Astyanax mexicanus: one gene and its partners. The protein of the gene in region 1 purifies or fractionates together with the protein of each later gene. This does not show direct contact. Links are inferred from orthologs where the notes say so. Each region holds a gene or a part of one and is shown in the gene's direction. Other genes may lie near its edges.

Region 1 (7,544 bases):
CAGTAATTAGCTACATAATCCCTTTATTTTTTAATGTTACTATTTTTAAATATAATGTTAAAAGACAAGCCTCCACTGAACAATATAGGGGGTAGAATTTGGTTTAACATTCCACCTGCAGGTGGAGTAATATTTTTAGCAACCAAAGCCACATGGGATGCAATCCCAGCAACTGATAAGATTAATGTGATGTTATAACACGTTTAAATTAAATCAAATATATTTAACATTACTTAATAAAATATGTATGAGCATCAATATGTAATGAAATACAGCTCTGGTAGAGAAATGGGAGTGGCATAAAATGATCCAAAAGCAGTGTGTAAGACATGCCAAGATGCATGAAAACTGAGATAAAAAAACAGGGAACTCTTAAAACTTTATGAATAGGGACTTTTGCATCTTGCAACTTTTGCTCTGCATCTTTTTTTTTATTTCAGCCATTTCTCATTTTCTGCAATTAAATGCTCTAAATTACAGTATTTGCGTTTGGAATTAGGGAGAAATGCTGTCCGTAGTTTATAGAATAAAACAACAATGTTCATTTTACTCAAACATATACCTATAAATAGCAAAATCAGAGAAACTGATTCAGAAACCGAAGTGGTTTCATTTTTTTCAGAGCTGTATATTGAGGTTTTAAATTACTTATTAAAATAGTGTTTTTTCATTTGTGGCCTGAGGAAAACATGCAGTCAGACCTCTTTTTAAGCAGTGCTTGTTTTTTTTTTCTCCAAATAAAATTTAAAAAGGCATACCACAGAGGGTTAATTCACAGCAGCTGAATGAATGAAAGAATGAATGAATGTTTGCTTTACTGTTTTTTAAGCATTTTTATCACCATACATGCATGAAGTTAGGAGGTTTAATTCTAATTAACTAATCATTCTAAATAACTCTTTACCAGGTACAGCAAGAATAAATCAGTGTCGCTGTTTAATTATTACACAACAGTCCTCTCTACACAACCTGTACAACAGGTAGCTGAGCTGATACAGTCAGTCTTACCTCTCTAATGCCTCTAAAGCCTCGTGGAAGAGTCTCATGCTTGTTGCAGTCAGTTCAGTCGGGTCCAGTGTTCGTGAAGTCTCATACTCAGGGTTAAGGGTTAATATCAGAGCTGCAGCTCAAACATTCACTCAGTTAATTCACCGGTAAAGTGGACTGAACTGAAGGAACCAGTATTTTGCTTCTGCACTTCCTCAATGACTTCTGAACGTAAACGTCACACAGAGGATCATGGGTAATGTAGTGCTTACCTTAACCTTTAGCCGCTGGACTCCTGAAACTTCTATTTTCTTTCCTTTTTATTTGTGCAGATACTTTATCGAAGCACAAATTGCTGCAACACATCTCTGAGATGCTGTAAAGTGTTTATTTAACCCTGTCTGCAAAATCCCACATCCATCGCATGTGTTATATTAGTTAAAGACCTCCTTTACTCAGGAGCAGTTTCAATATCAAACCACTAGATGGCAAACTCTTACTAAAACAGCAAGATTTCTACACTTCTGTGCCACTTTATTAATATACAAATTCCTTATTCAAAGAAAACTTCTACTCCTACATATATTTAATTCAATATATACAAAGTAAAAAATTGCAAAATTAAGGAATTTATTTATTTTTTTTCTTTTGTTTTAAACACCTTTCTGATCTTGTCGATAAGAAATAAGACCCTGTTTGTAGCTGTGTCCTCGGGCAATTCTCAATAAATTAAAAAAATAAATAAATAAAATAAAACAAAGCTGTATTTATATACATTTTCTCATGTACAGTACCAGTCAAAAGTTTGGACACACCTTCTCATTCAATGCTTTTCCTTTTTTTTTTTTTTTCTACATTGTAGATAAATGTTAAAGACATGGAAACAAATTAGATGCACAAAGGCAATTACAGAGTAAACAAAAATAGTCTGGCCCCCACAATATATTGTCCAAATAATATTCTATATTATATTTATGAATATTTATTATTTATATTAAATTTGCAATATAATATATATATATCATGAAAAAAAAGAAAACGTATTAAACATGCAGAAAATGTTGACAGGTACTGTATATATCAAGTTTGTCAAATAAAGAATTCTAATCTCTGGTCAATGTTTGGTCTTGCTGGAGTTTCAAAGTGTAAAGAAAAAACAGCAACTATTGTTCAGAACCTCCTTCAAGATGTTGAGAAAACTATTCCACTATTCCAATATGTATGAAACATATTCTGGTTTGTTAAACACTTTTTGTAAAAAACATAATTCCATGTGTGTTCCTGTATATAGCTTTAATGTACTCATCATTACATTTACAATGTAAGAAATCCTAAAAATAAAAAATAAAAACAAATTGTATGAAAAGAGGTGTGTCCAAACTTTTGACTGGTACTGTATACACAGTATTGTATTGAGTATACTATAACTGCCACTTCTTCCATTACTGAAATGTATGTTTTTTCACTGTATCCTCATCTTCCCTGACTTATTTTGTATATGTCCTTATTTATTAACATAAAAAAACATCTATTGTCTGAACCCTGTTTGCTTTGGACAAATTGACAATAATGTTATACTTTTTCAAATTAAAGGAATAAATATAAATAAATATTATTATATTTAATGTATGTGTTTAGCCTTTTAGCTACATTGGCCCCCATTATTTTGGACTCACAGTTTGCAGAGCAGATTCTCACTGTGTTTTTTCACAAGATGCAGAGTAGTGTGATATTACACTGCTGAACACTCTGAAATAGTAACAGACCACAACAACAGCTTAACACCTCCACAGAAAGGTGTTTGTGGTTTTTGGTCCCAAATAACATGCCCATGTGGGTGCTGTGTGGGTAGCCTAACTGGGAAATTTTTCACAGGTTCCATGTGGATTCTCATATGTAATGGGTCCAGGATAGTTAAACAATAGCTTCCATTTGGGTTGTATGATGCACATGGGGCCTAGATCTTTATTTGATCAAAACAGATTAGGCCTGCTCTTCATAACCAAATCAATCCAGAACTCTGCAATCAGGGAATTAAAACTGTAAATTAATGCATTGCTAAGTGTAGTAAACTGGTGTCACTTAGGTTGTTATATTTTGTGAGTAGATTTATTAAGATTCTGTTCCTCTTAACCCTTTCTGACCTTGCATCCATTACAATGGACATCGTGTATTTGAGAGCTGTTTTCCATCAGACCATAAACCAATAAACCAATAAACAAGTTTATAAACCAATAAAACAGTAACTTGGCCACTTCACTGGAAAAACAATAGTACTACAGCCAATGAGGCAAAGTAACAGCTAATATTTACTAATGTGATTTAGAACACGTTTTAATCATGCTTTTTTACGGTTTAGGGTGGTTTGTGAAATAAAAAGGTCAATATGAAATATTGGAAATAATGGAAATAAAAAATAGTAAATATTTTAGTTAATTTGATTTATTTGCTTATATTAATTTTATTATAGAATATTAGAGTCTTCTTTTCTGTGCATTACAGTCATAAAACAGCATTCTTACATTTTCTCATCACTGAAGATAATTCCGTTTTGAAAGGGTTAATCAAGTATCAGAAGGACTTTTATTTTGAAATTGTGGGTATCTACATATCAAGCAGTGCTCGGGCATTGTGGGAGTAATTAAAATGTATAATATATTGTCAGTAAAATAAAAAGACTAAGCGTGTAATATGTGAGGACAGTCATAAATGATATTCGCGTGATAAATGATTTGTACAAGACGGTTTATTTTCTTCAACGTGGTGCATTTCTGATCTTTGCCAGCTGATGGCGCCATGTTCCCGCATGTTAAGTGCTCGGGTTGCCATATTGGGAAAAAACATTTTAAAAATGGCTTGCTTATATTGAACAAATTTCCATTTAATACTTAGTCAGAATGTAACTAATTTTTTTATTAAAGTGAAAGCTAAAATTTATCTACATGCATATACGCTAAATTAAGTAAAATGGGCTATTTTCAGTGGTGAAATTCGAATTACTATTATAGTATATTATTATTATTATTATTGTTGTTGTTGTTGTTGTTGTTATTATTATTAATATTATTTATATACGTATATGTTTTATGTACGGATTTTGTGTTTATTTGTTTTTTTTTTATTTGTTGGTTTCCGTTCTCTTTTTGTATATTTTTGCTGCATACAACACTTGTATTACATTTGTTCAACGACAAATATTTATTTTAATGTATGTACGTTTTCCTCTTGTACATATAAGTTTTAGTTCCAGAAATACCAATTAAAATTAGTTTTTATGTTTCACTGTTCCTCAAGTCACAATGATCTAAGATCGCGCTTTACACACGGGGAGTTTTTAGGCCTCTTTTGGCAACCCTGGTCGCAACGGCCATTTGCCGTAGAAGAAGCCCCAACAACAGCAGCAGCAGCTAGTAGCTAATCTGGCTAATCTGAATCCAGGAGTGTGTATAATTGTAAAAACAGTGTCCTGAGGAGCAGCTGAGCTCCGCCGCGGTCCTGCGTCTGATCCTGGTCTGTAGTTTTGAGGGCAGTAGTCTGTAGGGTCTGTGGGCTGGTTGTCTGTAGGCAGTGCTAGGCTCGGTGAGCTAGCTGTAGGTTAGTTATGGCCGGCAGCAGCAGCAGTATAGCCCAGAAGACCTGGGAGCTGTCCAACAGCATTCAGGAAGTTCAGAGCATCGACGAGATCTACAAATACGACAAAAAACAACAGCAGGAGATACTCGCAGCCAAGCCATGGACTAAAGAGTGAGCCCCGCTCCCGTGATTTATAACATATCGCAGTGATGACTAGCTGTCTGTCTGTGTCTGTGTGTGTTTTCTATCTGTGTCTGTGTGTTTTCTGTCTGTGTGTTTTCTGTCTTTGTGTTTTCTGTCTTTGTGTTTTCTGTCTGTGTGTTTTCTGTCTGTGTGTTGTCTGTCTGTGTGTTGTCTGTCTGTGTGTTGTCTGGCTGTGTGTTGTCTGTCTGTGTCTGTGTGTTTTCTGTCTGTGTCTGTGTGTTTTCTGTCTGTGTCTGTGTGTTTTCTGTCTGTGTCTGTGTGTTTTCTGTCTGTGTGTTTTCTATCTGTGTCTGTGTGTTGTCTGTCTGTGTCTGTGTGTTTTCTGTCTGTGTCTGTGTGTTTTCTCTCTGTGTCTGTGTGTTTTGTCTGTATTTTAGGAGTTGTGTGTTTGTTTTTGTGTTTTTTTCTGTCTGTCTTTTTTTGTTAGTTTTTTTCTGTCTGGTTTTGCTTTGTGTTTTTTTCTGTCTGTGTTTTGGGATTGTGTGTTGGATTTCTGTCTGGGTCTGTGTTTTGTGTGTTTTCTGTCTGTGATTGAGAGATGTGTATGTATCATTGTGTGCTATGCTCTTGTTTACAGCCACCACTACTTTAAGTACTGTAAGATCTCAGCCCTGGCTCTTCTGAAGATGGTGATGCACGCCCGCTCTGGGGGGAACCTGGAGGTGATGGGACTGATGCTGGGGAAGGTGGATGGAGAGACCATGATGATCATGGACAGCTTCGCACTGCCTGTGGAGGGTACAGAGACCCGGGTCAACGCTCAGGCTGCAGCCTATGAGTACATGGCTGCCTACATAGAGAATGCTAAACAGGTAGGTTAAGCTTTACACCCCACAGTTCACAGCGGAGTATAGCTTAAAGTCTGGAACACCCCTTTTTCATGCCTTTTTATTTTCTCATCTTATCAATGACTTTATTACTGCACTTCACCTGTCAGACCTTTAACTCTTCTCTCATCACTGATGAAACTGAGTCCAATGTTAAGCTGAGCTAAAGAGGCTGTGCTTTTTTATACAATATAGGATTTTTTTTTTATAATATGCTTTTACCATATACTCATATTTTTTAGGTGTTTTTTTACCCTATTAAAATCAAAATGTATTTGTTTTGGCAGTTTACTGCAAAACGTTGTACATTTGATTTTGTACCATTTATTAACTGGACCTAAAAAACCCAAATAGCAAAAATAAAGGGGGAGAGGGGGGCTGTAATAAAACTTTTGACCGGTACTGTATTTCTCATATATATCAAGTATATAAAATAAAGCATGCTGATCTGGGGTCATCTTACACGTTTTATATAATTCTGATTTGCTGATTTTATTTTCTACATCGTAGATTAATATTAAAGACATGAAAAAAAAATTAATGGACACACAAGGAATAGGAATGTAGTAAACAAAAATATCCTATATTTATTAATATTGATTATATTTAATTTACAATGTGGATGATAAGGTGTGTCTACAATTTTTTCAAATAGAAAATGCTGATTTGGTGTCTGCTTACACCTTTTATACAATTCCTGTTTGAATTATATTATGAGATAGGACTTCATCTTGTCTTAATTTTTTTTATTATTATTTGATCATACCATGTCCTTATACTGAGGTGCAGGAAAACTGTTCCTTATTATAGTAATTTTAGTACATTTTCAAAAGATAGGTTTTCTTCTTGTCACACTGTCAAGCTGAAAAATCAACTCCAAATATTTTTGGTTTTAGACCAGTCTTAGCCCTAATCTTTAGTCAACTCAAGTCAAAAGGCTTTTATGGTAATTTCCTCTGAGTAAATGTGCACAGTAGTACCGTGGTGTAATATGGTAAGAAAACTATGCAATACAGAATACACTAAGGGCAAAATATAGAATCAGAACAATGAGCTTGATTAATAAAGCAGACATAAGACACAGCTGTGTGTGTTGTGATAAGGTGCAGAGATGGGTAACACCCTATGACATATTGATAAAACTGATATTTAAGATTAAGCTTTTATTATTTCCTCCATATATATGGCACTTGTATGCAATCATTTATTTAATAATTTGAGTTTCTGAGTCTGTGTCAGTGACTGACATGTATCCGTTAATGAAATGCCTACACTAAAAAAATATACCAAAATACAGTGCAAAACTAAAGAATTTAGTTCAGGCATTAAGGTTGTGTTTCCTGATGACGTGTGTTTAAAGTAAGGGGAGGATTGTGTAAGTTTGATTTGCTTTAGTGAAAAATCTTTGGATTCCTTTTATTTCATGAGCTGTACATATGCATACTCCTTATTATTAATCAGTTGCTACAGTTTATTTGGCATTTTGGATTTGTGATCTGTTTGTAGCCATATATTAATGTGCTCTGATAGTGATTTTATTTTAGATTTTGTTCTTCTACAATTACAACAGTTACATAAAGACAATAACAGCAAACTATATGTGGATTTATGTCATGCCCATATGTGATGACCATATATACTGCAGACTCTGCTTGAATATATTAATATAATTTTAGATGCTGATAGGGCATTAAGCACAACAACGAAAGCAGTAAAGTTTCTTCAGATAATTGTCTAATGAAATGTGTACTAGTCTGTCTAAGAAGAGCTAAAAGTAAAATAAATATTGCTGTAATCATGAATACAGAATATATTATTTACGAAATGCGAGTGTCATGTACAGCACAATTAGTGCTGGACGATATGGCCAAAATTCATATCACGATATATTCCTTAATTTCGGTCGATACGATATAATTCCGATATCGATATAAATACTTAGAAGGCCTCAGA
Region 2 (7,321 bases), on another chromosome or scaffold:
TACTCTTCATTTTGTTTGCTGTGTTTTCCAGAGCAACCTTCGTGTAGAATGCATTCTGACTGAATTGCAAGACATTACCATCAACACTGATGTCATTATTAATGACATTAAGGTAATTAATATAGTGTATTTGATGTTATTATTATAATAACTTTCTTCTGATTGTTTAATTAAAAATGTGTAAGTGCTGTTTTTTAGTCAATCCATAGAAAAGAAGTTTGCCTCTGTCTGAGATCATATCTTTCAAACTTGAACAGATTACTGAGAGGATCACTGCCAAAGCAGAACTCAGCTTTAATGAGAGCATCTACGAAGGACAAGACATGAGGAAGATGGAAAAGGTGGGGGAAAGTTAACAGTACAGTACAGTGATGTGGAAAAGTCCTAAATAGACCAAAAAATAGTTTACAACAGTTATTTAATGCAATTGTAATTGGGGTTTTTTTTGGTCAGTGTAATACTTAGCTGTGTAATTTTCTGACTGTTTGAGACTAAAAGCAAAATTAGAAAATTGGATGTAAAAACTATTTTTTATGTAGTGCAGTATACAAAGTGTACAAGACATAAGTGTTCATCCATTTTCCAGTTTTAGTTTGTTAAATTCTGCCCCTCACAACTGGAATTTCAGGACAAAATAAAATCCTTATTTTGCCTTTTCCTATATGTTTTTGACAGTAAGTAAAGATTTTTTACCTTAAGGAATACATTTAAAATTTTTAATTGTAATCACCTTTATAAAACAAGACTAAAGCAACAGTCTGTACTTTAGAGAATTTAGGGATTTAGAGACCTCTCTGGTGAGAATGTGTAACTGCATCAAGCATGTGGAAGAGTACTTTTAAAACCTACCAGACCACTCTGTTTTTAGAATAATATTAGACGCTGCAGGGATGGTCGTGCTAGGACACTGATACAATTATATAGAATATTTTATCACCTCCCAACTCAGGAATACCGCTGCTTTCCGTTTATAATAGAAAATCTTAGGGACTGCTGCTTTAATGTTTCAAATGCTTATGTAAAAATAGTATAGTAATACATAATAGAAAATAGAATAATAGTGAATAATAGTAAATATTCAGAATATGCTGTTCAGTAGAGTTAAAAACTAAGTTATAAGAACCAAAGTTTGCTGGCTGGCTTTTCTGTAACTTCAGAGAAACTCTGTTTGTGAAAATAAACACTGCCTATTTAAATAATTATTTTTGCGTGTATTCTTCACAGTACTGTATATCCAAACAATCAAATTATGATCTTTTTGGCCCACGTGCAACTAACTGTTTCAGTACTGTATATGTTTTTACTCTGAATGCAGGTGGAAGTGGTAGTTATCAAGCAGAAGATTGTGAAATCAACTGCAGTAATTGCAGGTGGCTCCGTTGGGGGGTTTCTGCTGTTAATCATCATCATCATTGTTCTTATAAAGGTAAAAACAAAAGGCTTTTATTTTACTGCTCAAGCTGTATTAAAAAAAATAAAGTAAATGTGTTAACACATTTGTTTGCTTTTCCCTGCAGTGTGGCTTCTTCCGTCGACGGCATCATATGGAGCGTACACAGAGCACACACTGAGAGCTGTCAATTGTCAGCATGACTATACCAGATTGTTATTATATTTTAAATATTGTGACTTTTTATATATTGTATCACTAGTCACCTCTTTATGTTATGTTTTTAGAAGCAGCCTAAACTAAATGTCATTCATTTGTTTCATTTTTTATTTTCTCATATTTTATATTTATAGACTGAAGTGTAAAATTTTAAAATTGAATCTTTTAATAAAATTTGAATATTATTTTTTCTATCTATCAAATAAGATGAGACCTGAAAAGACAAAACTCTGTGTACTTAAGTACTGCAAGTACTTTATTGTACTACTTAAGTACTGAAAGTACAAGTACAGTATTGATATAGATATTGATATAGATATTATTGAAAGCAGTCAAAAGTAGGGAGGCAGCAGTGTGAAAGGCAGAACGGGAGCAACATGTCTTCTTATATGACAGCTTAATCACTTGATTCACTCAGTGATTTTTATCAAACCCGTATTAAACATATCGAATTATGTATTAAAGTAAAAGAGTACTACTTTGTTACTATACATACTCCTTTACAGTTTCTTTATGTATTTTTTTTATGCATTCATATTTTTTATTTATTTAATTTCTGGAAATACATAGAAAAAACATGCAAATTTGCAAATAAATAAATGCATAAAAAGTGTCTTGCACAATCATTTAGACTTTTTATGTGTATATGTGTATTTATGTGTATGTATATATAACTCCAATTTATTTATATAGCACTTTTTACAACTGATGTTGTCGGAAAGCAGCTTTAGAGAAATGTGGTAGCAGTGCAGAGAATCAGACAAAATATTGAACATACAACACAGAACGGAGGCAAGGAAAAACGCCCTCAGAGTTAGAGGAGGAAGAAACCTGGGGAGGAACCAAGGCTCATCACATGTACCTTGTACTATATCATAGGTACTGTCACATGTACTATCAAGGCTAATATGTAAAGGGGACCTATCCTCCTCTGGTCAAACAACTTATAAATAAAGTTAAAAAGTCATTATGTATGTATTACACACAGAGTGGTCTATTTTAACCGTTTATTTATTTTATTGTTGATGATTATGGCTTACAGCCAATGAAAATCAGTGTCTCAGAAAATTGCATACCTCTACAAACCATAACTGATTGGTGGAAACTTCACACTAGACCTCAAGCAGTTTGGACTTTGTGTCTCTCCACTCTTCCTCCAGACTCTGCTCCCTTGATTTACAAATGATGGTCAGTGTTGGTTTAGAGAGACATGTCATCTGCTGGTGTTGGTCCACTTATATAAAGTCCAAAGTCCCATTTCCCGCATAATCTTACATCCCATGCTTCCCTCTGCTGACAACTTTTATGGAGCCTTGATAGATTTCATTTTCCAGCAGGACCTGGCACACTGACAAGATTACCAATTGCCAATTTCAATGATATTCTAACCTTGTATGCGGCTTGATTCATGCTTCATTCGCAAAGACCAAACTGCCCAATCTCAGCCATGCTAAAGCATTTCTAGATCATCACCATCTTCCACCAAACTTCACAGTCCAAACAGAGCTAAACTGCTTTTGTGCCAGGAGTGGAATAAGGTTGCCCAAAAGCAGCGTGAAAGACTTGTGGAGAGCATTGTTGTTTTTATATGACTATGAAATTGTTTTTTTTTTTTTTTTTTTTTTGCATTATTTAAGATTTTAAAGCATTGTACCCTTTTTCATTATTTTGACCATTTACGTTCTGCAAATAAGATAAGATAAGATAATCCTTTATTAATCCTACAATGGGTAAATGTACAATGTTACAGCAGCACAGAGGAAAGGACAGAGAAACAGGTCAGGAAAAAAGTATAAACAAATAATGATAAATCTATATATACAAAAAACTATTACAGACAATATATAAAAGACACTTAAAAATTATATATAGTAAGAAAGAATATATACATCTAGTGCATAGAGATATGATTATGATAGGGTGGATCAGTATTATTGCACAAAGCGCAACAGTGAATAAATATCAAATAAATAGTAGATAAAAAGATGAGAAAAATATTGCACGTTAAACATATTGCACAAATGGTGATAAGGGGATCACAGTACTTGTAGTGAGATGGATATTGCACACGGTAAGCATTACAGCTACACTGAGTAGTATGTAAGTTTGTGAGTAGTATGTAAGTAAATACATGCTAGAATTGACAATATTTGTATTTGTGGGAGAAATGTTGTCAGTGGTTTATAGAATAAAAGAGAAACTGGACATTTTGAAGTGGTCTCTTATTTTTTTTCCAGAGTTGTAACGTTATATATATACAGTGCCCTGAGTTCTTGAGTCAGTTATTGAACTCAGAAGTTTAGAATCACTGTTATGCTGCTCTGCTGCCCCCAGATCCAGATCTAAGTAATAAGTGTGTACACTTCTCAGCTGTGGTCTTCTATTGTTTTAAAACACTTCTGTTTAAAATTTACATTTTGACACAGTCCTCCAGCCTCTTGCTGGCCTACCTACCTGCCCCTATCTAATCCCTGTCCAGAGATCTCCTCCATTCTTATGCCAAGCCAAGACTCGCGAGATCAAACGGGGGAGAGTAAGTTAAGGAAACATGGCGATGTCTAATCTGTTAAAGGTAAGAGACACTACAGCTCAATGCACTCAAACTGCACTCAGTGTGCTGCGGCTGTGTGCGCGGATTCAGCTTTCAACGCAGCGATTTAATAAATGCTTTTGGGCTGATAAACGTGACACTGTGCTTGGGCGGCTTCTTGCAGGACCACTTTATAGGCTAGCTTGTTTTTGCTAGTCAGGCTAAAGCAGAACATAATGTTATGCTATGCTAGCCTATGCTAAGCTAACTAGCTAGTTTATCCGGGGCTATTACTGTCTTAGTAGGTGGTCAGCTCGCTTTAGCAGAAAGCACAGTAAGGTTGTTAATTTTATTTGGGATTTTTTATGTTTTTATAGGGGTTTATCTTACGATGTAGCTGCATGAATACAATAACATAATCAAATTTATTTTAGTTAGCTTGCTAGCTAGGTAGCTTAGCTTGCTTAGCTAACTATACCTGCTTACTGACAGTGACCGGCTAGCAGTCATTTAACCTAGCTAGCTTACCTGAAATTTCGCCTTAGCTAGCAAGCGAATCGGGAGTCATGCGTTACTAACAGTATTTTCAGCTCGTTTTAAGTATATTAAGCTCATAATAAACATTATTTTTGCTAGCTAACTAACCTAGCTAGCTATCATAAACTGTCAATGAGCACCAATAGCTTTAGGTTAGCTAATAACGCCGTTTCTAGGTTAGCTGGCTAGCTAACGTTACATTCACAGAACCGTAAAAAGTTAGCTTAGCTAGGTGTAAACTAACTGTCATTAGTTAACGTTAGATAGATTTGATAGCTAAATACAGCTCTGGAGAATAAATAAGACAAAATCAGTTTCTGAATTAGTTTCTTTGATTTTGCTATTGATATGTATATGTTTGAGTAAAATGAACATTGTTGTTTTATTCTATTAACTACGGACAACATTTCTCCCAAATCCCAAATAAAACATTGTCATTTAGAGCATTTATTTGCAGAAAATTAGAAATGGCTGAAATAACAAGACCTCAAATAATGCAAAGAAAACAAGTTCATATTCATAAAGTTTTAAGAGTTCAGAAATCAATATTTGGTGGAATAACCCTGTTTTTTAAACACAGTTTTCATGCATCTTGGCATGTTCTCCTCCACCAGTCTTACACACTGCTTTTTGATAACTTCATGCCACTCCTGTTGCAAAAATTCAAGCAGTTCAGCTTGATTTGATGGCTTGTGATCGTCCATCTTCCTGTTGATTATATATATATATGATCAAAGAAACATATCATTTTAAGTGGTCTCTTATTTTTTTCCAAAGCTGTATATATGTTAGCAAGCGAATGGCTTCCAGGTTAGTTAACTGGCTAGTTATATCTCTCTCTTTTATTTGCTATCTCTTTTCTATAATCAGCTTTGTAAAAGCTATGTGTTGTTGAAAATAACTGCGTAGATAATAATTATAATTTTTCCATGTTAGTTAGCTAAGTTAGCTAGCTGTCAGCTACAATGACCTGTAGGCAGCTGTCACTCATTGAATGCTGTGACATACAGCTTATTGACATATCTCTGGTGTGTTTGCCAGGTTAGCTTTAACTATTTAAGGTGTCTAGTCAAATACAGATAGCTGACGATTCTGGCACAAATACAGACCAGATAGCTAGACAAAATTTATTTTTTGGTATTGCTAGTTAAATATTGTGGACCAAAACCAATCCAGCTGTGGCAGCCACATATAATGCTTGTCATGTCCTTAGATGCTGTGCTGTCCATTACCTTGTAACATAAACCTCATTATTCCATAGTTTGCTAACTACATTCCCAATGTGTCTAATCAAAAAAATAAGTTACAGTTCCTCTGGAAGTTCATGTCTTGTGTGTGAAAAGTATTGACATTCATTACCCTGTAGGTAGAAGTATAGATATTAGGGTTTAAAATACTTCTGTACAAGTTGAAGTATCATCTCAAGTGAAATGTAAGGGGAAAAAATGCCATTAAGGACAAAGCTTAGGCCACGTCACAGGGTCCTATAGTGCACTACCCTCCCCTCCACCACACAATTTTTTCTAAAAGCCATAATGAATATAATGTTATATTAAAATGTTAATGTTAAACAATTAATGTGTTTTAGTACAATGTTCTCTTGAGTCTCTGCACGGATCATTTTATATTAGGCTACATATGTCTGCTATGTTCTTGGTTGATAAGTATTGTGGGCCAAAACTAGTCCATCTGTGCCAGCCACATATGAAGAAGGCATAACATTCACTAGATCTCTGAGCCCAAAGAAATACTACTGTGTAAAATGTTTGCACAACAGTTATGTTTTGGCCCAAAACTGGCCCAACTTTATTTGACTAAATTCCATGCTCATCTAATAGTAACATAAACTTAATTATACCTTAGTTTTTTAATTAACTACCCAAATGGTCTATTCAAGTAATGAAGCAGTACTGAATACATTTCTTAAGAAAAAAAGTTGTTATGCTACTTTAATTGTGATGTTTCGTGTAATGGTTACTTTGTACTAGAAAAACCATTAAGACCTACCTGGTGTTTTTGGAGATTCTTTGTGTCAAATGTCAAGTTTTAAAAATATAAACATTTTGATCTTTTTAGAGTGGTCCTAAGGTCCAAAGATCCTGATGTTTTTCCTATTTTATGACTATTAATCACTTCAAGAATTGACTGTTTAATTGAAGCGTAATTTAAGTTTTAATCAAAAGGTTTAACTTCACCTGTCAGTGGGACTAAAGCAATGGCTGATTGGTGTAGGTTTAGCAGTTTTTCGGCATCTCTGTAATCTTTCTATTTTTTGTCCTTAGAACAAAGGGTCCCTCCAGTTTGAGGACAAGTGGGACCTGATGCGCCCCATTGTCCTCAAGTTGCTTCGTCAGGAGTCCGTAACAAAACAGCAGTGGTTCGATCTTTTCTCGTAAGGCTGTTGATGACATTCATATACATAATAGAGAATGTTAGCCCTGTTGTTTCTACTAAGAGCATCAGTGTAATTTATTTGACACTCTCTTCTGCTGCAGAGATGTTCATGCAGTCTGCTTGTGGGATGACAAAGGCCCTGCAAAGATCCACCAGGCTCTTAAAGAGGACATTTTAGATTTTATTAAGCAAGCCCAGGCGGTAAGAAATATGTTGGGGTTCATATGCATGCTTCACTTATGAACCCTCAA
Region 3 (7,715 bases), about 5.5 Mb from region 1:
TGACCCAGCGTTACTCCCTCATCACCCGCCATCTTAAAGGAAAAGAAACGAGAACGTGACCGAGCGCCGCCTGACTGTTTCACCACACAATAAAACACATTTCATACACACTCACACCCGCTAATCCTCTACTACACAACAAAAAATACACTCTCTAAATTCACTACACATACAAACACAGAACCCACTGAAACACGAGCGATTCAACCACCCCCGGGTCCTGAACTCAGGCGTGGATGATGCAATACAGCGAGGAGGAGGAGGAACCATGTGTTTCCCCAGAATTAACCCCAAAAACCTTCTCACCCAGCACGATCACCTGCCCCGTCCGTACACACACGAACCCTGAAAAGACACCGAATCACCGGCACACAGCGACCACAGACCGCTACACTTTACCTGTGCGATTTCTGAAACACGTTGAAGATGAAGCCGATAGCGACAAGGGGTCCGTCTACTGTAAAATGCGTCATCAGTTTTGTAGTTTTCGACTCGGTGCAGTTGTAGTCCTTTATTTCGCCCCCTCTTTTTCTCTATGCAAAAAAAAAAAATGAATGAATTAACTAATTAATTCAAAAGGTTTGTACAGCAAATTATAGCAATTAAAGTATATTAGAGTCATATTTGTAACAGCAAAATGTAGCAAATTCACAGTAAAGAAGGCCTACTTTTATATCTGTAATATCACTTTATTAATCAGATTAGACTGTTACAAAGCATTTGAAGGAGGACAAAATAATAGTTAAGGTTCAGGGTATGTCAGTTTCATGTATCATTTCACTCCCATTTAAAAAAATATATAGTTACAGTGACATGACAGAGTAACCCTCATTTAAAATTTTCTTTGTTAAAAAGACTACTTTATGATTAGAGTTTCATTTTCCAAAAAATGCCAACTGCCATATCTGAGTAAGTTTCAGGGATATCATCACATAATTATACTTTCTGTGATTTTATTAAGTGTTATAATCTTGCCACTATATCTACAACTTTGTACTTTAGCTATATGTCTTTGTATGTCTTTGCTTTGTGTATTTCAACTGAAATTAAATACCTTTAGGCTAACCAAATAATATCACATTAAATAATACACCCCATCTGTTAATGCTGGCTCACAACACAAATACATTAACTTTATATGAGGTCAGGATGTTTAATGTAAATTGTATGTGTATGAGGGCAAATTGGGGCATCCAATTTGCAAATGTTATGTTAATGAAGAATTGGTGCAGGGTGCTTGTTTCCATGCCTGGAAAGAAGCTGACTCATCATCTGTGTTTAAATCACTGCTTGTTTTAAAGTGTCATGAATCAGACACGGATAAATTCATGCACATTTTCTTGCATTTCAATTTGCACTTAGCCTTTATGCAACGTTGACGACAAAGGGACATTGAGTCTGTGTTCTAGAATTCTAGAATCAGAATTAAGTCTAGGGCAGGATGTCTATGGGTCTAATAAAACTACACATGTAAGCCAGATTTGGGCCATGACTATCTTAATAGTTATAACATGCATTCATTTTTTTCTGATATTTTAAATTTTATGGTGGGATCATAAATAATTTCATGAACTCTTGGTTTACTGTGAATCTAGACTAGAATCTTACACAGAATCAACAAATCAGAATAAATATTTGTCCATAATTATGACAACAACAATAGCAACCAACAAGAAAAACCATAGTGAGACTAGTAACTACCTGGGGTACTATAGTAACCACTTAGCAAAACCATACAAATCACCTGACATTCCATAGCAATCAGTTAACAACTACCTATAAATACCATAGCAATCACGTGGGATACCACAGCAACCACCTAGCAACACCATAGCAACTGTATAACCAGAACAGCTACAAGTAAAAACAACAACTTAGCAATAGCATAGCAACCACCTGGTGTTCCAAGGGAACCACCTAGCAACACCATAGCAACCACCTAGAGTTTAGACTGTTACAAAGCATTTGAAGGAGGACAAAAGAATGTTTAAAGTTTGGGGTATGTCAGTTTCATGTACTAAATTCCCATTAATCAACTATGCCAATATAAATATAGTTTTCCTTTATGTGACACTTTTAATACTGTTTTAAAACTCGTATAAATGTGAGTAAGATTGAGTTGAATTCAAAGTTTATTGAATATCAGAATAGCATACGTTGTTCCATTGACCTACTTTTGACTGTAAATGCAAAAGTTTGCCACAATTTATTTTAAACTAAATTGTAAAACTTGTGGACTTATGGATTTTTACTAATATAGTATTTTATCTGTTCCAAATGTTAAGACAAATATGTTGCACTGAGTGTGTGTTACATTATTTTGTGACCCTGGCAACAAACAAAATGTTTTATCTTGTCTTTTTCTGTCATGCCAAGTCCCTAGAGGAATGTTGTTTTGTTACACTGTTTAGCCTATTTCTTTGGAAATGTGGACGGGATGACAAATTGACTGTTAAATAGGACTCAGTAGAAATGTGCTCTCTGGAGTGATGAATCACTCTTCACTATCTGGCAGCCTGATGGATAAATCTGGTCATGGTGGATTCCAGGACGACGCTACATACTGGACTGCATAGTGCTTACATTACAGCTTGGAGGATCTGGGATGATGGCCTGGGTCTGTTTTTGTGCCCTTAGTTCCAATGATGGGTGATGTTACAGCTACTACAAACAAATACATTTTACACAATGCTTTAAACTTTGCAGTTGCACTGTGCCCAAAGCTAACTTCTTGTTTTGAAAAGTTTGATGTGAAGGAACACCTGAACACCTTAGGGATGAACTGTAATGCTGGGCTCAATCTAACTGAGTGAGTAGGATGTACCTCCCTATGCCTGACGTTAGGCAGTGTGGGCATCTGTTTGCTGAGAATTAGAAGTTAACATTCTCCTCCCATCTTATTGAGCCTTTAACACTTTTTACCAGGAGTTGGGAGCACATGCTCCGGGGTAGCTGGGACATTTAGGGCTAGCTGAGAGCACATGGACAACAACACAAACATGGAGGTGTGTATATATACATATTTTTTAAGGTCCCACAGCTACTAGTATTCAATTTACACACAATGAGGAAATGCATTACAATTTTGATTTTATTTAGATGTTAAAACAAGCGTTGGAATTAAATGAAACTGATTGCCAAAGCAGTCTATTTTTCTCCCTCTTTAAGCTTTAATCTCTTATTTAATAAAAAAATGTCCCACCATGCAAGTGAATTTAAAGACAAAATAATTAATCCACAGCAGTTAACTGTTACAAGCTCAATTGGTGTATTAAAGGAGGCACATGCAAGCTTCAACACTCCTGGATAATCTGTAATAATAACTGTAAACAGCTTCCAAGCTGATTATAAAGGAGATAACTGCAGCCCAGTTGTGGTCCTTATTAACTGCTTTCATGGTACCACACTGTTCTTTTATGAAATTTACTGGGCTACATGACCTGAAATCTGCTTTTTGGTCCAAGTATCATGGATTGGGAAATGTGATTCTCCTTCCATTACATAATGAGCTGGAGGTATGCATTTGTGGCTACAATCAGTGCAGCAGTTGGCAACTACTGGCGACTAAAAATGGATGAGGCACTTGAAATGGTGCAAAAAGGGAATTTTTTTGCATATAAATTGAAACAAACAGGACACACCATGCATGTGACTTGCGTGCAAAAAAACAAAACTGTTGGGTAAAGCTGGAGCTGGAGGTAAGCAAAACACTTGGCAGCTACAAATGGTGCAGCAGTAGAGGAATGGATGAGACACTTGAGGAAAAACAATTGGTGAAATTATGGCAGTAGTTAAGTACACAAATAAATACAACTGTAATAGTGGCCCAGTGGACTAAGGCACCGGATCGAATCCTGCCCATGTAGCCCTGAGAGAGCACAATAGGCCTTGCTCTCTCTGTGTGGGTAGATGGCACTCTCTCCCCCATCACTCCAAAGGGTGATGTCGATCAACACAAGCATCTGTGAGCTGATGTATCAGAACCGAGTTTGTGCGCTTTCCTCCGAGCGCACTGACTACTCGGCAATGCTGCATCAGCATCAGATCAAAAAGAGGTGGTGACTGACTTCACATGTATCAGAGGAGACATGTGCTAGTCTTCACCCTCCTGGTGTTGGGGCATGACTAGTGATTGGGGGAGTCCTAATGAGTGGGTTGGGTAATTGGCCATGTAAATTGGAGAGAAAATGGGGAAAAAAAATAGAAATACGATTTTCATTTTGGGGTGGCTAAAAGCTCTGGGACGATTTCTGGGACGGTTGAGGAAAGTTAGTCGGGAGCTCTGGTAAGTGTTTACTGGGCCCTTCAGGTACAGAGCAAAAAAAGCAAAAACGTGCTGGGTCCTGTCAGACTGTGGCCTATCATCTTTCAAACAGACCACACAACCAGTGGCACATATTCCCGGTTTTGTAAGCTGCTTATTTCGGCGTCTAAAGTCTAAAGTTTGAGCTGCTAAATATTGCACCCCCTTCACCGCCTACAGTTCCGCCCGACCGCTTCTGCTGCCGGAAATTACGTCAGTGCAGACCATAACATGGCGTCTGGAATGGCTGTGAGGGCTGCAGGAAAACACAATGTTGGAATCCGGTCGGAGAGCGGGCTGATTTAGAGGCGCGGGCGGGCTGAAGGGTGACCGGGGGCGATGAGGGTTCGGGCGGAGCCGGTGTGAGGCAGCGCGCCGCTCCATGTCGGAGGGACCCCGGGCTGCGTGGTCGAAGCGGGGCTGCGCGGAGTCCCACCGCCGAGGTAAAGCCGGACTCTTTACACACATCCCCACAAAAAACACAGAGATTCAGGAGCAGCAGGGCAGCGGCGGGCCGCTCAGCGGGGCCAGCCCGCTCCCTGCAGCCCGGTGGAAGAGCTCAGCCCGAGCCCCGGGGCTCCGAGCTCTAGTATAATGTGTTTAAAGAGTGGCTAAGCATGCTCACTGGACCCTTCTATATTACAGTGTAGGGGGGTGATGGCTATAGCTGAACTAGCAGAGTGAGGGGCAGGAGATGGACTGATTCTGTGTTTATAACCATGTGTGTGTTCATTTAACCTGCCTGTTCAACATTTCAGAAAAAAAGCTTAATGAAGCCTGGTGTTGACCTTTGCTCTGAGAGGTTACAGTGAAATGGGCCCTTGATGAAGAGGTTATAAGACAGTAACCTATTTCTGTAGCCCCATAGGTTTGATTTCAGGCAAAAAAGCTAAAGACTCAATACATTAATACAATGTTTTGGTACTTTCAGATGTTTAGCCTTGTCTGTTATTTTAATTTCACTATAATGTGCATAGTAGACTCACGCTAAGCCACTTTACTGGACCTTTTTGTTATAAACATAGCACAAAGAGTAAAAACAATCAAATCAAATTTATTTGTATAGCGCTTTACAGAAATGTGATCACAGTTCAGAGAATCAGGTGAAACATTAAACATAAAAAATACAGAATAAAGAACCTGGAGAAGGAAGAAACCTTGGAAGGACCAAGACTATATACAGGGGGGGTCAGACATGATGTCTACCATTGGTCAGACATCTTTTAAATGATTTTTAAAAAGGCTTTATACATTCACCTAAGTCTTATATATTCAGTTTTATAGCAATGATTTGGTAGATTTGGCATTTCTTTGTTTTAACAATGATTATTGGCTATAAATATAATACCTTTGGAAAACCTGTTCATTTTTTTCTTGTAAATGGTCACATTAAATCACATTTGTAAGAAACATGCATCTGTGGGATGAGCAGTAGGGGAGAGCATGTTTGTGGCACCCATAATAAAGTTGCCAAATCTTCTCTGCCATGGTCAGACAGCTTATTTTGCTGTTGACACTTGTTTTAAGCTTCTGGTACCCCCAGGTGCTGCCAATAAGTAGCCAGGTGAGCATGGACTCTGCTACAGTGACCAGTAGGTGTCTGCTCCAAGAATCGGCATCATGTCACATGTCATGGCATCATTTAACTGATCTGGATAGGGTTCATGTGGCAAGGCTACTTCAAGCTGGTGTTCTGCAAAAAACAAGGTGTGGTTTTATTTGGAATTTGTAGTGAGCCCTAGTACCAATATCTCCAAACTGAAGGCCAAGTTCCATATAATGGGGATGTTAGAGAGGGACCGCCAAGTGGGCATCCCCACAAGAGAACACCCCAAGAAGATCTGCATTTTATGGATGCATCCCACATGCTCAACTCTGCTGCTCATTCAACAAATGCATGTTTCTTACAAGTGTGGAACGCCTAAAAGGGAAGTTAACAGGCTTTCCAAATGTATAAGATATATTTCCAAGAAGCACTGGTACAATAAATAAATAATCTAGCAAACACTAATGTCCTTACTTTTTGTGCTATGGTAGAAGCTGCAGGTGATTATCATATCATATATTTGGTAATTTAGGTGTTTATAATTACTGTAAAAAGCACAATTGTTAGTGTTTCAGTATAATGGTGTAAAGTCTAGTGCTGATCATTATTTCAAGAGGTTAAAGTGCAGTGGGCCGTTGATGGACTGCATATCTGCATTTGCTTGATTCAGTACAGTGTACATGAACTTTATCAGCTGTCAGTTATATTTGTAAGCTAGCTAGCTTATAAAGTGTGGATCTGGGTTTGGTCAGTGCACTTAGAAACATCTATAAGCTTTCAGGTGTTTAACCCTGTCTGTGTTAGGTTTTAGTATAGTCTGTATAGACTAATTCGAAGCCTGTTTCCACTATAGTATGGGGTTACAATTAAGTGTGGGTCCACATGTGCTTAATCTCAGTACATTGGGCACAGGAAAGTGACTATGTACTGCACAGACTGAGTAAGCTTAAAGTTGACCTCGGTATGTTGGCCTTTTCCACAAGAGGAAGAGTTCTTATAAAGTCTGGGTTTAAGAGTTATGAGATTCTTTGCTTCCTTGATGCTTTGTGAGTGTGTGGCACATTGGTGCTGATCTGATTGTGGTAGTTATGCCTTAATCCCTTGTTATTTATGCACTTAGACACAAGGAAGGGGGGGATTCTTTGACATTACAGTAGTACACTATTGTAGAACCCTATTTAATTCATATTTAAGTTCTTATGATTATAAATGCTGTATTTAGTGTCATCATATAAAAGGGCATGATGATAATTGTTTTTGTGATAAATTATATTGTATTTTATTTTTATAGTAAAAAAAGGAATGCTCATAGTCGCAAAAATACAGTACTCAAGGACAAAATTGGTAGTTTTAAAAACATTTTATACTATTACACTGTCAGTTTCCCGGACAGGATTACGTCTAGTTATAAACTATATTTTCTTTTCAATTGAAAATCTATATTTTAAATGCAGTGTAGTTCAAGACTAGGCCTGATTCCTGTCTCCCCCTCATTTATAGGACTGAGGGATACAAATATCTAAGCTTTCTCCCAATTCCTCAGACCTTGTCCCAACAATCAGCAGCCATGGACTCCTCTAAGCAGCTGTCCAGCATTCTGAAAATGTACGTAATATTAGAATGCCATAAGAAGAGTTTTCAGGTAGTGGTTTCTTTAGATAGTCTTTTAATCATAATTAACAGGCTTTGTGGCGGTGAGTTGAAGTTGAGGTCTGGAAGATCAAGAACTATTTTAGAGAGAGCTGTTTGTAGGATTTCTAGAAACAAAACAAAACCCCATGTTTGACATGCTTTTTTTTTTTGCCAGTCTGTGGTGCAGAGCGCCTTGTTCAACTGTGCAAACCATGACACCAATTGGGTCCTCAT
Region 4 (7,405 bases), about 8.0 Mb from region 1:
GCAGTCACTGGCAGCCTGGGTAAGATTTATTGTTTTCACTGGTATAAAGGGCTGAGAGACTGCACTGGTATGTTAGTCATTAAACCATGGGTTTCCAACGAAACTTGCAGCCACACTGATACTTTGAGGATAAGATTGGACACTCCTGGTTTACATGTTTGATATTGGGGCGTGATTTCTCTAATTTCCTTTGTTCAAGCCATTAAACACTTCTTAGAACATGAATACCGAGATTTATGTTCTTGAAACATAGGAGTGAGAATTGCTACCCCATATTTTTAAACACAAATAATTCAATTAATTGTTCCTAAAATGGAATATATAAGACTAGAATAATCTGCTTTGTTCCTATCCTTGATCTTATAATTGCACTGTGGTCACCTCACACTTCACCTTTGCAAGTTATCCCTTTTGCTTCATTAATTAATCCGTTTTTTTCTTCATCTACTTTTGTGGATTAAATAAAAATCTCATCATGTTTCAAGTCAGATGTGTGCAGGAATACATTGTGTATCACAAAAGAATAGTGAATATGAATATGCCTCCTAACTAGAGTTGTATCTTCTGTTACAGCCGCGAATGATCCTTTACACTTTCGTCCAAATCCTGAGAATCTCGCCAGTAAGGTAAAACCCACTCAGATCCCTTTAATTGCCTGTACCTGGTCATGTGACATTTGGATTCCAAATTTAGTTATTGTATTTTTATGTTTATGCAGCTCAGCGAAGCTGAAGACTCAGATGATGATGTTGATGATGATCATGAACCAGGAGATGAAAAAGATGATCAGAAAACAGGACTTGGCAGGAAATACGTACCACCCAAGATTGCCCCAATGCATTATGGTAAAATGCATGATTCAGTTAATGGTTTAGTAATAATCCAATAATCCAAATAATGTTTTCAAATTCAAATCAGTTTCTTATGGAAGTATTTAATCAGCATCACTGTGGTGAGACTGTGGCTTTGAGTGCTGCTCAACAGATCACATACACTTTGGTAAAATTGTCTTGTCTGTTGAACTGCAGGCGGGGATATGACCGAGTCGGACCGGCAGAAAGACTTTGCTGATAAGCAGAGGAAAGCGGCTCTGCGCAGCTCCGTCATCCAGGAGCTCCGGCGACAATACAGTGATGCTCCAGAGGAGATCCGGGACCGCCAAGATTTCCAGACTGATCGTGAGATACAAGAGGACAGACACAGGTAAGAAAAATATACTGAATTATAGAGTTACTGTAGATGAATAACAGATTAATATACTTTGTACTGTATTAGCTGTCTGTGTTGGCTCTATAAAGCTGGAGGTACAATCCTTGCATAACATAACTTGCTGTGCACTCTCTCTTTCCCTGCTGGGAAGCAGCTCCTCTGTAACCCCATCTTGGTTGATTTTTTTTTCTGTGATGATGCCTGCAATGTCTGGCCTCAGTGTTTACAGATCACTGTTCTTTGTCTTTCTTTAGGAAGAACTATGAGGAGTCCATGATGGTGCGTCTAAGTCTTACCCGAGAACAGAAGGCCAAAAAGAGGCGGATGGTGGGAATGACCTCACAACTGGGCAACATCACACACTTCAGTGACATCACGGCACTGACTGGCAGGCAGACAGCGGTGAGCACATTGAAAAACATTATTAAAATCACTCATAATAAACCATAAACTCTTAAATCATGAGAGCATAATCTCTACACAGCAGTGATGTTCTCAAAACTGCTCAGATGGAGCAGGTCTGTTAATGAATAATAATCTAAATTATCATAGTAAATAATTATTCTTTTATGTTGTAGGATGTGGAAAGACCAAAGAAGAAGAAGAAGCTTATGAAGAAAAACAAAAAGAAAAGTAAGTCTGGATTTAATGAATATTGCACTTACTTTTTTCCCAAACTTTGATATTTGCTGTCGTTATTATATCTTTTTTTAATATAATTGATATGGATTTAACTGACAATTAATTTTTGTTGAACTTTTACTTTTCAGTGTTCAAGAAACGCAAGTAGGATTTTTTTTTTTTCAACGTCCAGAATAAGACAGTGTGATGAGGTTGCAATTTCTTTAAAGATTTCAAAATAAAAAAAACAATAAACCAGAATGTAGTTCTGTATTTTTTTTCCTTCTGCAATGTATTTAATGTGTCAGTGATTACTGCAGCATGTTACACTGAATTTTACTGAATGTTACATCACATTTCTGGACATTTCAGTGTTTATATGCACCAAATTACTGAATTACGCAGAATGTTATTTGACGTTTAAGCACATAATTGAATGCTTTAGCACGTTCTTGAACATAGTATATTTCTCTGCAAACCCACAGTGGGGTTCATGTGTACAAGACAGCCATGTTAAACTGACCTTTTGCTACTTCAGCAAAAGTACTTTAGGTACGTTATTCAAGTCTTTCACTGGTCGGTTATTCACAGCCCTGTAGTAACACTGATGAGGTGGTGCAGAAGAGCTGCTGGACAATAACCCCGCAGTGTGACTGTTAGACAGAATAGTCCACAAACCAGAAATATTCAGCCAGCAGCGTCCTGTGGGAACGTAGAGGAAGACCAACAGAAACTGCAGCAACAGATGAGCTACTGTCTCTGATCTAAAAGGTGGAGCAGGTAGGTAGGAGTGTCTAATAGAGTGGAGGACAGAGAATGAACACTGTTTAAAAACTCCAGCAGCACAGCCCAGGGCCACTGCAGTGCTGTTAACAACCAATCACCTAAATAATAACTGCTCTGTGGTGGTCACTTACTACATAGTCACTATCTCAAGTGGAAAATCTGAGGGTTTAAATGTACTACTGAGATCAAACAGCACTTCAAAATAGTTGACACACTACAGAGTGCACTATTTCTGTTATAGGGATAGATTCCAAACGCAGCTGTAGACTCTTTTTGGCCACTCTTGAATTATCTGTTGAGAGCTTTCAGATCCAACAAAATATCAGACCCAGGTGTGCTGGAGCAAAAGCAATTCTTTAACACAGAACACGAGAAACATTGAACGTTCCTGCTCTGGCTCATGCCACTTCATTTCTTTGATCTATCCTTTAACCAGCAAATATATATTTTTTTAAATCACTCAAAGAAATGTAAGTGCAAGTAAGTTGCATATGTACGAAAATAATGCCTGTTCTACAGTCTCCACATTCCCCATCTCCACACCATTCCATCATCTACCAGTTATAAAAGGTCATTCTTTTATATTTATTTGTTTATGATTGTTTTTAAGGTGTTCAGACTGGGGTTAATAGAGTTGCACTAATACTGTATATGATTACCCTAAGCCACCACTGGGTTAATTTTTTACCCAGTTTTACACATATTATTGAATCTGTGTTCTGTAAAGAAAACAGAAGGACAAATCTATGAAATAAACGTTTATACAAATTAATATAGTAAAAAAAAAAAAACTAAAACCTTTTTGCTAAAATCTGCATCAAAAGTTTGGGCAAAATGTCTATAAATAACAATACCCACATATAACATTACTCACATTGCTTTAATGTTTATGCCAGATTATGTTTCTTTCTCTTTACAGTATTAAAATATCAGAAAAGGTTATGTAAAAATTTGTCAGTGCTCACAGCTTTTAAATATTTTTTTAGCTAGCACATTTTCTGTAAATATGTATATTTTGTCAAGACTATTTATATCATGATTAAAAATCTAAATTAGTTGCATATGTATTTTTATCTATATTTGTCATTATTCTCTTTAAATGTGTGTTTTTATATCAAGAGCTTTAGATTTATTATTTTAATTTTATCTCTATATTTATGTATATATCAGTGTATATTTGTTAATATTGTGTGTATTAGTGTATTTTTTCTGTTAATATACTCTGTGAATCTGTATATTTTACTGTATATAATTTTGTTAATATTTTCTGTAAATCTGTATGTTTTAGTGTACAATATTTTTGTTAATATTCTTTGTAAATCTGTATATTTTACTGTATAACATTTTTTATAATATTCTCTGTATTTGTGTATATATTAGTTTATATTATTTATGTAATATCTGGATATTTTCATGTATATTATAGTGTATATTTAAGTGTGTATTTTACTGTATATTTAGTTGTATATTTTACTGTATATTTAAGTGTATATTCTACTGTGCATGTAAGTGTATATTTTACTGTATATTTAGATGTATATTTTACTGTATATTTAAGTGTATGTTTTACTGTATATATTTTACAAGATATTGTTTTTGTTAATATATTTTCCCTGTTTTTTTTTTTTTTTCCAGTTTTGTTTTTTTAGTCTGTGGATCTCGCTCTCGGGTTCGCGACCGTGTCACGTGATCGTCGTGAACGCGCATCGCTTCATAAACAACATGGAGGGTCTGAGGCAGAGAGAGGGGCTCATAAAAGCGGATTAGAGGAGCGGGGGAGCGAGCTGTCAGCCGGGGGTCGGGTTTGTATGAGTACAGGGAGCGGTACCGCAGGTGTCCGGGAGTAACAGTGGACGCGGAGAGCTGAGAGACTGCAGAGTGACGGTAGGCCCGTTAGCACGGGGCTAACACTCACATTATAAACAGATAAAGACAGCGGCGGCGGAGGGGGGCATATAAACACTGTGTCACAGCGGTGAACAGTGAACTGGGGGCTGTAAACACAGGTCACTAGCGGGGTGTGTGACAGTGGGCTGTGAGCTGACCTGTGTCCTGTCCAGTTTAAGTCTGTGGGGAATGTTTTCGTCCTTGGTTCCTTAATCGCCGGTTTCTTATTGGATCTGTCCCTTCCACCTTAAATGGTACGGCTGCTGTGTTCTTCTGAACGCCAGAATGTAACTCCTGGGCCATTTAAGGTGGAATAGACGATTCCAATAAGAAGCCAACGTTCAGGGTCAACATATTGTATGTATGTCTGCCCATGACACTGCCTGTGTGAAATGCTGATCATAGTCTAAACCAGTCCACCCTGCTCTCATTTCTTTCTCGAACTTCAGTTAGCTATTGTGATGTGTTGGCAGATGCAGGTGGAAGAAAAGAGAGCTATAGATTATCTGTATTTGAGGATTGAATGTTTTGTTTGTGTTAAGTGTGAATACTATACTGTTTTTTACACACCAGAGGAAAAATCCTGTGAATCCTGTCACGGAAGTTATGAAAGGAACATAAAGGCCATTGGATGTGGTAGTACAGTTTAAACATAGTAGTTAATGAGCTATATACATATATAAATATCTAACCATTATAAAGCTTAGTAATTATTAAAGAAAGACACATCTGATCAGTATTGACAGGTTTTACTCCAGGTTTTAGTATCATATCATATCAGATATAGGAAACAGTATGTCTGGTATAATATGTCAATTCAAATCATTGTGTTCTGTTTCATATTTCCCCAGGTGCTCGGTCTATGGGCTCTCAGTCCAGTTCTGGGATGTCCGGTCGGGGCTCCAGCGGCAACCCAGACCAGTCAGAACCAGAATCTAACCAGAATTCCAACCAGAGAGGCCGCCGGCAGCCCGAGAGGCAGGCAGACAGAGCATCAGCGTCCGAGGAGGACGTTGATTTAGCACAAGTACTGGCGTACCTACTGAGAAGGTGAAGTGGAGACCTGTTAATATAATTTTTGTATTATTTATACTACTATGCAGTTTGGTAATAATTTCAGTACTCTTAAGTGCTTTAAATACTTCATTGAGAAACAAGCGATACAGTGTTCTATTGAAATTCACATTCATAAGGTTTACTAATTCTCCTAGTTTCTTTTCTAAGTTAAATGTTTTGGAATATTTCATAATGACTAATACCATGATTTTTTTTTCTTTTTAAAGAATTTTTTTTGCTATTGTTATTTTAAGTAAAAAAAATTTTAATGTAAATGTTAATGTTGTCAATTAAAAAAAGGATTTGGTATTCAGTATACAGTTATTTAATCAATTTGTGTCCTAGACAGTAGCTGCAACGATTAGTCGTTATAATCGACAATGTCGATTATTTAAATTTGTCGACTACAACAGAACAGATTACATTATTAATCACTAAATGTCAGTACTCTCCATGTTTAAACAACTTCTGGACATTTAAATGCCTTTTAAATCTCATGTTTTCTGTTTTTTTAGAGATGGAGAACATGGCACAAATAATCGTTGATTAATCGACTAATCGAAATAATTATCATCTGATTAGTCCACTACCAAAATAATCATTAGTTGCAGCCCTACTAGACAGTCCGTAGTAATGTAGGTGTGTAATACAAATATGCATATATATATATATATATATATATATATATATATATATATATATATATATATATATATGTGTTTGTGTGTGTGTGTGTGTGTGTGTGTGTGTGTGTGTGTGTGTGTGTGTGTGTGTAGTGACATTTTCATGCTGAAGGGGATTTTTAATATGACCTTGTTTTTATGATTAACATGCTGATGCATGTCGAGATTAAACAGAGATATTGAGATAAATAGGTCCACTTTCATTTACTGTGTTCTGCCAGAGTATAATGAGAACCACTGATATAGACTTTATAGAAATGCACTGTGGTTCACTCCGAAAGATTGTTGCTTTGTCAGTCCACCAAAGCTTGAGGAATTTAAGTCTTAAAAGCTGGTTTGTGTGTTGTGGAGGGGTTGTAATGTGTGCTGTGTGTTTGCTTGTGGTGTAGGGGCCAGGTCAGACTGGTCCATGGGAGTGGAGCAACAGGACTGCAGCTCGTCCAGTCTGTCTCAGACTCTGATGAGGACAGTGATGGAGCCTGGGAGGGACGTCTGGGACACCGTTATGATCCTCCGGGTAAATATAAACAAATTGGTTGATGTATTTAATTGGTTTCTAGAGGGAAATGTATGTGAAACAGCAGCCAAGAAATAATCACCTTCAATACTCAATCCTTATTACTCACTGCTACACCTAATTACACACACTGCATGTCTTTTTGTTTTAGTGGACTCCCATCCGGATACTCAGGAAGTGGATCGCAGTGAGATCCGAACACAGATCCTGCTGGCCACTGCCTCCTCAAATCTGAAGGGGAAACACAGCTTTACACACATGCTGAATCAGGTGAAGGACCATCAAATGATAGTTACTGTTTTTTTTTATTTGAACAAAACTCAAGAATAATCTCTGAGCATTGACAACTGAATTACAGCTCATATAGAAACATGAACTGACCTTCGCTTACACAACAGCAAACACATAGACCTTAATAGGTTTATTGTACATCAGTGTTCTAGTGACTGTGTGTGTGTGTTCCAGAGGGAGCAGGGTCGGTGTCGTGGATCCAGTTTCTCTCATGGCGAGTGCAGTCGGATACGCTCACAGTGAGTACACACACACATACACACAATCCCTGCAATTTATTCATTATACATCACAATTGCTGCATTTTAGAAACTCTTCAACACAAGTCATCCATTAGACCATAGATAAGATGTAT

Evidence for each region.
Region 2: the proteins of cops5 (region 1) and cul5a purify together in Homo sapiens (affinity purification with western blotting; 6 studies listed by BioGRID and IntAct, with this or other methods). This does not show direct contact. The link is inferred for Astyanax mexicanus from reciprocal best matches to the Homo sapiens genes COPS5 and CUL5.
Region 3: the proteins of cops5 (region 1) and klhl15 purify together in Homo sapiens (affinity purification with mass spectrometry; 3 studies listed by BioGRID and IntAct, with this or other methods). This does not show direct contact. The link is inferred for Astyanax mexicanus from reciprocal best matches to the Homo sapiens genes COPS5 and KLHL15.
Region 4: the proteins of cops5 (region 1) and dcaf11 purify together in Homo sapiens (affinity purification with mass spectrometry; 6 studies listed by BioGRID and IntAct, with this or other methods). This does not show direct contact. The link is inferred for Astyanax mexicanus from reciprocal best matches to the Homo sapiens genes COPS5 and DCAF11.

Annotation. Positions count from the first base shown.
Region 1 is NC_064408.1:97,568,098-97,575,641, reverse strand, and holds the start of cops5 (COP9 signalosome complex subunit 5), read left to right. Parts: upstream 1-4,340; 5' UTR 4,341-4,588; coding exon 4,589-4,731; intron 4,732-5,341; coding exon 5,342-5,576; intron 5,577-7,544. UniProt on the Homo sapiens protein: Probable protease subunit of the COP9 signalosome complex (CSN), a complex involved in various cellular and developmental processes.
Region 2 is NC_064425.1:6,513,079-6,520,399, forward strand, and holds the start of cul5a (cullin-5a), read left to right. Parts: upstream 1-4,089; 5' UTR 4,090-4,157; coding exon 4,158-4,181; intron 4,182-6,958; coding exon 6,959-7,068; intron 7,069-7,171; coding exon 7,172-7,271; intron 7,272-7,321. Other genes in the region: itgae.2 (integrin alpha-E), read left to right, coding at 32-112, 258-341, 1,316-1,426, 1,518-1,571. UniProt on the Homo sapiens protein: Core component of multiple cullin-5-RING E3 ubiquitin-protein ligase complexes (ECS complexes, also named CRL5 complexes), which mediate the ubiquitination and subsequent proteasomal degradation of target proteins.
Region 3 is NC_064408.1:92,115,600-92,123,314, reverse strand, and holds the start of klhl15 (kelch-like protein 15), read left to right. Parts: upstream 1-4,500; 5' UTR 4,501-4,685; coding exon 4,686-4,746; intron 4,747-7,349; exon of another isoform or gene 7,350-7,454; intron 7,455-7,715. Other genes in the region: eif2s3 (eukaryotic translation initiation factor 2 subunit 3), read right to left, coding at 1-32. UniProt on the Homo sapiens protein: Substrate-specific adapter for CUL3 E3 ubiquitin-protein ligase complex.
Region 4 is NC_064408.1:89,574,104-89,581,508, reverse strand, and holds the start of dcaf11 (DDB1- and CUL4-associated factor 11), read left to right. Parts: upstream 1-4,307; 5' UTR 4,308-4,500; intron 4,501-5,354; 5' UTR 5,355-5,365; coding exon 5,366-5,553; intron 5,554-6,631; coding exon 6,632-6,759; intron 6,760-6,910; coding exon 6,911-7,029; intron 7,030-7,224; coding exon 7,225-7,289; intron 7,290-7,405. Other genes in the region: ngdn (neuroguidin), read left to right, coding at 1-19, 574-626, 719-845, 1,029-1,203, 1,464-1,611, 1,788-1,842, 1,980-1,999. UniProt on the Homo sapiens protein: May function as a substrate receptor for CUL4-DDB1 E3 ubiquitin-protein ligase complex.